Linked DNA regions of Arabidopsis thaliana. The protein of the gene in region 2 interacts with the protein of the main gene of each other region in a pairwise test. Each region holds a gene or a part of one and is shown on either strand. Other genes may lie near its edges.

Region 1 (5,628 bases), on a different chromosome or scaffold from region 2:
ATTTTTATTTTTTTAAGACCACTCTCTCTATCAGAGTCAGGGCCTTTTCGGTGGAGTAAATGAATGCTATTGCTAACACATCCCCACGTGCACATCACCCTCTTCCACCTCCCTAGTGACCCTATTTTAGTATATTTCGCTTTGATTTTTGAAACCAGAAACAAGATTTGAAATTATGAAAAAAGTTAAAAGGATTACAACCCATTAAAGCCAAGAAGAGGTTGACCAACAATTTATAGACCACTTTGGCTGCTACTATTACAATGATCAAAGAGCATATAAACTGGCCAAACCAAAAACTAATCCTAAGGAAATCATTCACACTTATGTCTTCAAGAGATTTTAAATCAAGATACTAAAAAAATCTTTCTTTTTTCAGAAAATGGTGTGAATGATCACAGTTCAATACAACTAAGCAAAATCTTGTAACATAAATCCAATACGATATGGAAAAACAAAGACCCGGAAAGAAAAAGGTATACTATACTTGCTGAAATTAAACCAAAAAAGAAGAAACGAACTGGTAAGAGATCAGAAGAGAAAACTCAAAACGTGTGATTGATTGATTAGTAATCACTATAGTTGGATTGTTGTAATTAGGTAGAACAGCATCCTTTTCTGTTAGTTGCAGATGAATCTGATATATTGATCGCTGTTCCTTGGCCCGGAAGATTACCTGCAGCTTCTTGTGCCGCTAAAGCTTTCTTGCTTATGATATGATAAATCTCAGACAAAATGGTCTGAAACGCTTTCTCGATGTTAGTCGCTTCTAAAGCAGATGTCTCGAGAAACGACAAACCTTCCTTCTCGGCGAGAGAGCGACCATCTTCATCAGCAACAGATCTCAAGTGATTCAGGTCTGATTTGTTTCCAGCCATCATGATAACAATGTTGGAATCAGCATGATCCCTTAGCTCACGTAACCATCTCAAGACATTCTCAAAAGTTTGTCTCTTGGTTATGTCGTAGACAAGAAGAGCTCCAACAGCTCCTCTGTAGTAAGCACTTGTGATTGCTCGATAACGCTCTTGACCTGCAGTGTCCCAAATCTGAGCCTTCACTGTTTTGCCTTCAACCTAGTCAAGATTACACATACAAGCATGAACAAAGACGAGCCATTTCATTTGCTACAATTACATTAAAATAAACCCCTAACGAGAATTCATTTTCATAACATAAGATCTTCAGATCTAACAATCACATGCCTGTTCAAATATCAGAGGATGCAAATGCGACGACACAATCTAAGATTAAACACCAAATTGATCTGGAGGGAAATTGTCTAGATTTAGAGAAAGCGAGAGAAGAGAGATGACCTGTAAAGTCCGGGTGGCGAATTCGACGCCAATGGTGGATTTGGATTCGAGACAGAACTCGTTTCTGGTGAATCGAGAGAGAATGTTGGATTTACCAACACCGGAATCGCCGATCAGGACGATCTTGAACAAGTAATCGTACTCATGATCTATTCTATTCGCCATTGCTTCTCAAATCCTAGCGTCTGATCAACCTACGCATATACACATTCACGTCAACATCGATCGAAGAAACTACAACTAATCATCGTCAATGAGATCAAAAAGCAGCAAATCGAAACCCTAGAAAATCGAATTTTACCTTTTGAGCAAGCCGGAAGGATCGAGAATGGAACAAATGTTTTTTTTATATATTTTGTTTCTGTATTTCTCTGTTTCCTTTCCTTATACGTTGCGGGTTTTGTGCCCAAGAGGTGAAAACGGAAACTCCCTTTTATTTAGTTTCGAATTTTGAGATTCTTTTTTTTTTGTTTACCACGGAAGAAATAATTTCATTAAATTTCAACTTTTTGTTATAAGACTTTGTTACAAATCAGTCATACCAAAACTAAGATCAGATTATGCAAATTGCATATCTAAATTAAAAATTCAACCTTTAAACTTAAGTTTAGTTGGTCCCATCCGAGTTAAAATCGAATTTACGGCTAAAATCTTCAGAAAAAGCAATTGAAACGAGAATATAAAGGCCTTGCTTAATTATTAGGATTAACAGTTATAATACATCATTACCAAAACACAGAGCCATATTCAAATCAAGAGCCATAATCAGAAGAGTCTTTACGCATAAACATGAAACCCATAAGCTAATTGGCTTTAGCCAGAGATATCAATAGACTTAACTTGAGCCTTCTTCTTAGCCTCTTCCACTTTAGGCACCGTCACAGTCAGAACTCCGTTCTCCATGGAAGCCTTGACTTGATCCATCTTCACATTCTCCGGCAGCTTAAACTTCCTCGAGAATTGCCCGCTCGACCTCTCCACACGATGCCACGTGTCCTGCTTCTCCTCTTTCTCCACGTGTCTCTCTCCACTGATCTTGAGCACACTGTCGTCCTCTATCTCCACTTTAACCTCCTCTTTCTTCATCCCCGGCAGATCGGCCTTGAACACGTGCGCCTCCGCCGTCTCTTTCCAGTCCACACGTGCGTTCGTTATCGCCGATGTTTCTCCGGAGAGCGACGACGGGAATTGCAGTTCCTTGAATGGATCCCAAACGTCGAGTGAGAACGGGTCGAAGATGCTGTTGCTTCGCCTGTTGTTGCCGAAGAAGCTTGGAATAAGCGACATTCTCGATTTGATTTCGAAAGCGAAAGAGATGTTTGGAATGCTGAGATAGCTAATTACGATTTTCCGGCGAGTTCGATTTCTACTTCTGAGCAAAGCTGGTGACTCGGATGATGTATTTATAGTGGTGAACAAGAAATCTCCAGAGCTTCTAGAATTTACGGGTCCCAAACTTCTTTAAACTTCACACGAAAACGATGAAAAGATTGGAAAACAGAATCCAGAAAACTCTAGAGTCTACTAGTAGATGCCTTTCAATTTCAAGTACAGTACGACTCTATTCAGCCGTTATGCGTTTTATGGGCTATAATGGGCTCCTGAGGCCCAAATATTATGAGATAATGTTTAGAAATTGAAACTGGTATCATGTATATATTTGACATCGAAGACATATATTTTGTATACAAAAGCTTTTTCTCATCTAACTTGGATCAACTAAGAAAGCATTTTAAGACTGTGTTATTCCAGTGGTGTATACCTTGGCTAATCCACAGAATCAGTTGCAGACTGAGGAACGCTTGAACTGTAGAATATGATGAACGCATAGATCTACACGATAAAACCATTCTCGGGACCATCGTGAGTCTATGTAGAGGAAAGCAAACAATGCCAAGGATGTAGATATGTAGACTGCAGCACAAGTCCAGTAAAACCACACCATGTCTATCACATTACCTTCTTCTTCATTTTCTTCCTCTTTGGCATGCGTTGACACACTTGGTGGCTCAGGGACTCTCTGGGAGATGCAATTTTTATTTGTAGGAAGTCCACAGAGATGAGCGTTGCCTATGTAACTCCTCTCGTCAAAGGTAACAAGATGGCCTTTGAAAGGGATTTCACCTGATAAATTGTTATATGAGATATTCAAGTATCCTAAACTGTTGAGATCGGCTAGCGCAGGAGGGATACTTCCATCTAGCTTATTGTTGGATAGATCAAGACTCTCTAAGCCCTTCAGCTTTGAAATGCTATCTGGTATGGAGCCTGTGAGGCGGTTACTTGACAAATTCAGGGACCTGATATTCTGAAGATCTCCAATCTCGATTGGAATTTCACCCGATAGTTCGTTGCTCGACAAATCCAGACCATGCATATAGCGGAGAATATCACCTTGATACGCCTCATATCTGCTTTTCGTTAAAAAATCCACTACGGTTGCTGGTTTTGGTTGATAACCATTCCTGACACCATCATCCAAGTTAAGATGTGATCCATATTGACAATGTGGCAAGAATGTAATGTATGAGAAGTCAAAATCTGCAACAAGTGACATGGTACGGTCATTCTGCTCTGCACCAAAAGACATTTTACTGAAACATGATGGTATGGGGCCTCTGAATTGATTGTGAGACAAGTCTAACAGACCAACTTCACTTAGCTGACATATTTTCCCAGGGATATAAGTTTGAAAGCTGTTATTCCGTAGAAGAAGAATACGTAACTTAGATGTCTGGTCAATAGTGTTCAGTATCTTTCCAGAAAAATTGTTGTTCCGCAAATCAAGCACTTCTAATCCCGCAGCCTTGAATAAATTTCCCGGAACTAAACCCGTAAACTCATTGTTTTGTAGTCTTAGTTCTCTGAGAGATGGAAAATTCACATTCCTTGGTATCGAACCAGAGAAGCTATTGTGTGAGATGTCCATAACCTCAACCCAAGGACTCTGTCGTAGAAAAGGGAAAGGACCTTTTAGCTGATTACCACTCATGTATAGGTAGGAAAGCCTTGATATCCTACCAATCCAAAGTGGAAGCATGCCCGAAAACCTATTATCTGATATGTCTAAAAGAGTAAGATTCTTTGACTTCAATAAACCCTCTTCAAGACTCCCAGTAAAATTGTTGCCATCAAGAAAAAGCCCAACTAAACCAGTAAGATTTGCATGCTTCGAAAATATTTTCCCCTGTAATTGATTGTTGGAGAGCTTCAGAACCCTTAGCGAGTAGCAACCACTTAAAAACATAATAGGTAGCTGCCCATATAGACCATTAGAAGACATGTCCAAGACTTGTAGGCTTTTCATCTCCCCAATCGAAGATGGTATAGTTCCTTGAAAATGATTTGAAGAAAAGTTCATAAACCTCAGGTTTGGAAACACCATCCCTATGTCCTCTTGAATCGAATCATATATCATATTACTCGAGATATCGAGAACTTGCAAGCCATGAACAAGAATAGGTAGTTGAAGCTTTGTCAATGAGTTCCCACTTAGTAAAATAGTCTGCAGCCTTGTGTTATTCTTCACAAGCCAAGTCGGGAATGTTCCTGTCAACTTGTTATGAGAGAGATCAACGAAGCACAAGTCACGCTGATGCACGAGAAAGCCGAGCATTGTGCTGCCAAGACTGCAATTCGATAAATATAACATCTTCAATTGAAACAATGGAGCCCATGAACTCTCAGTCTGAACTTGGATCACACCAACTTTTGATGACAATTTGAATACTGTGAGTCTTGTTTGATTGACCAGTGAGTTGAACAAGAACGAACCGTCGAAGTTATTATCAAGCAGCGACAAGTACTCAAGCACTGATGGTAGACCAGACACAAAGGAAGACAGGTTTCCATTCAATTGGTTGTTCGATAGATCAAGAGTTCGAAGATGCGTTAAGTTACCCAAACAATAAGGTAGACTTGTTAAAGCATTGCTGCTCAAATCCAGCTCCCTGAGTTTCATTAGTCTGCAAATCCCTAAATAGCCTGAAATTAATCAAATAAGAGTGTAAGAAATCAGAATAATCATCAACTTCATCTTTAAAAGAGAGTAATAACAAGATATTCACCAACTCCATCATCATATGAACTAATTAGACTTCATAGCCATGTAACTCATTAAGTTCTTCTGTTCTCACAATCTATCTATGTATAAATTCAGTTAGGAGGGTGACCAAAGTGTGACTCTTCTGTTTAGACCAAAAAATGCATAAGATAAGAAAGATAAAATTATTGTAATATTCACCTTCGTGGGTCAAAGACAATTGATTTCTTTTGAAATCCAATACTTGTAAAGATGTAGGAATCTCTAAAC
Region 2 (5,324 bases):
CGAATGTCAAAGAAGGTCCTTTTCTATCATCTGAGCTTTCTCACCTGTGCCCTCAGCCCTCAAGACTTCGCCAGACCTTGATTTTCGATTGAAGATAATCGTTGCTTCGCTATCCCGATACCAAAATGGGAAGATCTCCCTTCTGGGTTGGTAGATGAATTGTTCTGGGTAACAGGCGGTGGACATCTTCGTTGACAGATCTGAGTTATCGACTTGGTCATATGCCCTAAAGTTACCCTAAGCCCTCGGGGCTCCATCCGAACCTGTGACTCAACCTTCTCTTTAGCGGAGGAGAATAGTTCCGAGTGAGTGTGCTCCCGAACCAACGATTTGTATACTCTTTGCCCCAGGTACCAATACCCATGTCTTCCTGCTTCTTTTGATTCTCTTACTCTTCAAAAATAAAAGCAAAGCACACCGCTAAACAAAAAGCTGGTATTACCAACCTTCTCAGAGGTTAGGCGATTCATTGAGTCGATCAGTCATCTTTTTCCCAAGACAACTTTATTGTGTGTAGGCGCACAAAGGAAGATCGTAGAATCAGGATTACTCGTCCACTTTCATCGCCTTTTGTTGATCCGTGTCATCCTTGCTGCTTCATCCAATTATTCTTTATTCCTCCTCTCACTTGGGCGAAACACTAGAAACGGCCATTAATTTACGGATCGGTCATACAAGGAGCATACCTACTAATACTTCGGCGTGTGCTGCATTCGAGTGGTTAACAGCATACATCTATTCCCAAATCCCAACGGAGATAGATAGTATCCTTCTGTGCTATCCCCTATATCCTCGTAGTAGGGTTGAGGGCAGCGAAGTCTCCCGTTTATCCTGTCTCCTTCTCTTGGTTAGTGCGTACTACTTCCCAACGTATCTTATATAGAGACATTGGAGGAGCCTGATCTTCCATCTACGCAAAAGAGATGCTTGAGTTCTTCCATCCGCGAAGGCGGTGTGCTCAAATAAGTTAGTTTGTTACGAGACTATCAGGTCCACCAGGATAATTCGAGGTGGATAGCCCTGACTGACAGGGGACTAAGATTAGGAAGCATCCACAAGAGCGAAAGAGCCCTTTTATGTTTGTTTCGCTAATCTTATAGATTGGAAGTTTGCCCAGCACAGAGTAGTAGGGTTATGCTTTCGAAAGTCTTTTCAGAGTATAAGGGAGGTCCATCTTTAGAGATCTGAATGAAAGTTCTGAGCTTAATGGATTCCCGGAACCCCAGGACTTTAGAGAGTCCCAACCCTAAGAAGGCTTGCTCGGGTTGAAAGATGTGATGCAGCACAGACAGAGGTGCGATAGTAAGTCAATTGATCAGGAGAGGTGGTAGCTTCTGGTCTCTCAAGCTGACAATGGTAGTCTAGATAGATATAAAGTTCTATGCTGTTTGCTTGCTCAAGGCTAGAAGCAGGAGTCTGTTATTGATAGCTCCCGTTGCCATTGGCTGTTCCGCCCGTGGTCTTTCAGATAGACGTTCAAAATAAAATTCTTTTCATCCTCTCCTCCTGGCTACCAGTATATGGAGATGGTTTGATTCTGAGAGTTGAGGAACACCAAGCAAGATTTGATTGACATCATCTACGGCTTTGCGCCAATATGAATTATGAATATAGGTTAAGTGAAATCTGACAACCAGCACACTGCTTGATCTCATTAGCAGCTCCGGCGAAGCAGCACAGACCAAGGTAAGCACAGGATAGGCAGTATCTTTATGAAGTCTCGTAAGGCTCAGATCTTTAATAGAAGTAAACTTCAGGTCTTTGTTCTAATAAATAGCCATCTTCGTCCTCAATGGCAAGAAAGAAAGGCTGCTAGGAGTAAGTGGGAAGTGCCAGGGTAAAGCCCCTGATGGATCGATCAACGGATTCTGCAATTTCATCTCTTTCATAAGCGATTAATTCTTGTTTAGCCTTAGTTGGGATTTGGACTCAGAAGCCGAACACAGTTCTTAGATCGATTAAAAGCATGCCGCTTATCGACACTCTTTTTCTAAGGATCTTAGGCAGCGGTTGAAGTTACCAGGGATGGAACCATAGGTGCTTTAGCAACAGCAACTCGACTATTAGAACATGCGTACGTGAGGAGCAACTCGAGTGAAGAAGCAAGTTATGGTGTATTGTCCAATGTGCCCCGCTTTTCTCCATGCTGAGGACTATTCGACTTGTGAGTCAGATTCCGATTTAGTGGAGGAACTTCCTTTTGAAGGCACCCGAGAGCCTATATAAGATTTACCAATTTCCTCAGCTAGATGATCAAAGTCTTGGATGCAGGATGGCTCCAATCTGACAGATGTGGCACCAAAACCTAAAGATTCCTTTACTAGGGTTTGGTGGAATGATAGCCCAAAGAAGATTTTTGGTGTAGAAAGTCTCAAATTCAGGATCTTCCGCTGTACGGATTTCCTGGGAAACGAAGTCATAGGCACGTAGGTTCAGAGCCAGACCGATCACTCACAATATCCCTGGGCAAGCCAAAGATTTTGACCACATGCTTAAGGAACAACTCCGCAGCATCATGGACGGTGCATGCATGTTGCGCTGCTATGAACACAGCATACTTAGAAAAGCGATCCACCACTACCATCACGGACCTAATCTTTTTAGGAATGGAACCCACAAACAAGGTCTTGAAGAGCCTTGTGTTACCTAACTAAAGAGCTCCCAAGGCCACCTGATTCGGAGTAGAGCACTCCTATTTACACTTCGATTCCGCCCACTGATTCAGATCCAGCTAAGGCCCGCAACCAAAGAGGAGACACTTGCACCGGGGTAATGCTACCACACAGGTTTTGAGGCGAGGCGCTGCCCTCTTTCGGGCAATCAACTCTTTCTTGTACCTGGCACTAGTCAAATTGTATCTCGGTTCATGGCATGCCACAACGACTCTATCGGCTTATAGTCATTCCTGGCACTCGGCGCATGTCTTTGATCAACCCCGGTTCCGTCACTCGTATCTGGTTGAACCAGTACTTCCTTTCCGCCGTTCCTAGGGACCACCCACTCCCGTTCCCATGAGTGATCCGAGACAGTACGCGGAGATTAATCGGTCTCTTTTGGTTCTCATTCCAAAAGTTGAGCAGCCTGTTAGCATAAAAATGGCAATTATCCTCCTTCTATTCGTTCTGGATACGGGCCTAGTCCTGAGTGCGCTGTCTGTCTTCTCGGCTGGCCCAAACAACGGGATTGGTCCTGTGGGATTAGCACCAAAATTCCTCGGCATCTCATCCTCCTGTTGCTGGTCATTTCCTAAAGGATCGAAGGTTCAGCCGACGCCTCAAAGTGGATTTGTTGTGCGAAGGGTGCGACCGGGATTTAGAGTTAGAATAGCGGGGAAGACTTGACCTCAGGCAGCGTGAAACCAGTTTATTTCATTCGATGTAGTGGTCCGATTGCCTAGTGGAAGCCCTGAGGCACTTGATTCTTGCGTACGCTCGGCTCCTCTACCAATCACCACAGCGCGAGATGCGCAAGAGTGACCCATCTCTCCACACCAACTGGACCATACAATACACTCTTTATAAGAAAAAAAGATTTGGAACCGAAAGATAGGAAATAAATTTACTTCCAGAGCGGAAGGGAATACTTAACCACGCCTCGAGTCCCAGTCTCCTAGTGGTGAGATGGTAAAGGGCAATGTCCGGTTCTGGCCAAGAGATGTCTTTGCTCCGTCCCCCTTCTTGTTGGTTGGCACAAGCCCTTGTAGTAGTAAGTCTTTCCTCCGGCCGGATCGGATGTTAGAGTCAATTCCATTGTACGTTTGACCATTAAGTGAATGCAAATATAGGTAGAATTTGAATCAACGACCTAAGAGTCTTCTTTTGCCTATCGTAGTTACCTTGATGTGATAAATGGTCCAACTTTCTTGAAAGATATCAGATCTTTAAAGTCCTGCTCATATACATACTAATATGATCGCTACGAGGTCATCCCACTACACACCATCAAGCAACCACTACTGAAGCTATCAACTCAATTCTCTCGTTCGAATGGGGAGATAGATAAAAGAAACGAAACTCTATAAAATATCATAAGAGAAGAAGATTTTAATTCCAGCTTAAATAAGTAAGACTTGACTCTTTAAAAAATTCCGATCAACAACTTGGAGGGATGGCTGAGTGGCTTAAGGCATTGGTTTGCTAAATCGACATACAAGAAGATTGTATCATGGGTTCGAATCCCATTTCCTCCGGCGCGGAAGTGAAACGGGCGGGCGAAATGAGAAGAGCACTACTTAGTGACTAGGAGCGGGGAGCCCGTTGCGCGTTTTTTTGTTTGACCGGCCTATCTTCATAAGTAAGCTCCCTATGGCCGTCCAGTCCCTGGGCGGCTCTCGGTTCTTGAGCATGTTGGGAGATTAGTCGTCAATTGAAAGAGCTGCTCTAAAGCTTGACGAAGAAGTTTTCCCTATTAATTAGATTAGTAAAGGGCTTTTCCCTTACTAGTCAAGTGGTAAGGTAGGGCGCTCTTCGATGAAGAAAAGAAGAGACTTTTGGAAAAGTGGTTCAGCTCAGCTGGTTAGAGCAAAGGACTGTAAATCCTTGTGTCAGTGGTTCGAATCCACAACCACTTCTATTCTCGGAGCTGAGGTATATGAAGAATGGCCTTTTGGTCCTTTGGACACGTAGCCGAGAGCGAGCCGGATTTTTAAAATTCAAGTGAAAGAAGGAAGAAGGCAAAAAGCCGTATAGTGCAGGAGGCAGATGAAAAAAAAAAAGCAATTACAGTGAGACGCGAGGTGTAGCGCAGTCTGGTCAGCGCATCTGTTTTGGGTACAGAGGGCCATAGGTTCGAATCCTGTCACCTTGATTAATGTCTTTTTTTTTGGAACCTTTGTTTTGGAGTTTTCCCAAACCTATACCTTACTCATCTTACTAAGAAAATGGGGCTTATGTTTTTCAGCCGCATCGCACTGCTGCATAAACAATAGATCCGCTGGGCTGGATGAGCAACCTTCTATCTGGCCTCTGTACTAGTAGTAGAGTTGCTTGCTACTTTCAATCATAAAACGAAAATTGAGCAAGGCAAGGGAGAAAGAAGTTGTCCCCTCCTCTCTGGTAACCCGCCGCCGGTCATATAGAGCGCTCCGCCCGCCCCAGCATATGTATAAAAAAGAGGGAAGAAAGAACAACCGTTTTACTTTGGCACATGAGGTGGCGGGTTTGGCTAGGTAACATAATGGAAATGTATCGGACTGCAAATCCTGTAATGACGGTTCGACTCCGTCCTTGGCCTACACCTTCATGACCAGAAATAACTGGAACAAAGGGAAAGCCCACTCAACTAGTAACATACGGACACAAACAACAAAACTACTTGTTACAAAT

What was found. Proteins that work in one complex are often made in the same cells at the same time.
Region 1: the proteins of AT2G07738 (region 2) and AT1G07400 interact in a two-hybrid assay, tested with the Arabidopsis thaliana proteins (one large-scale study listed by BioGRID).

What each region holds. Positions count from the first base shown.
Region 1 is NC_003070.9:2,272,123-2,277,750, reverse strand, and holds AT1G07400 (HSP20-like chaperones superfamily protein), read right to left. Parts: upstream 2,826-5,628; 5' UTR 2,604-2,825; coding exon 2,130-2,603; 3' UTR 1,968-2,129; downstream 1-1,967. Other genes in the region: RABA2b (RAB GTPase homolog A2B), read right to left, coding at 597-1,076, 1,317-1,481; RLP1 (receptor like protein 1), read right to left, coding at 3,097-5,300, 5,560-5,628. UniProt on the Arabidopsis thaliana protein: Cytosolic mediator for sorting and targeting of nascent chloroplast outer envelope membrane (OEM) proteins to the chloroplast. Functions as an AKR2A cofactor to facilitate the targeting of OEP7 to chloroplasts.
Region 2 is NC_003071.7:3,490,281-3,495,604, forward strand, and holds AT2G07738 (uncharacterized protein), read right to left. Parts: upstream 2,507-5,324; 5' UTR 2,421-2,506; coding exon 2,154-2,420; 3' UTR 2,059-2,153; downstream 1-2,058. Other genes in the region: AT2G07795 (uncharacterized protein), read left to right, coding at 3,012-3,341; AT2G07739 (Ycf1 protein), read right to left, coding at 5,231-5,324.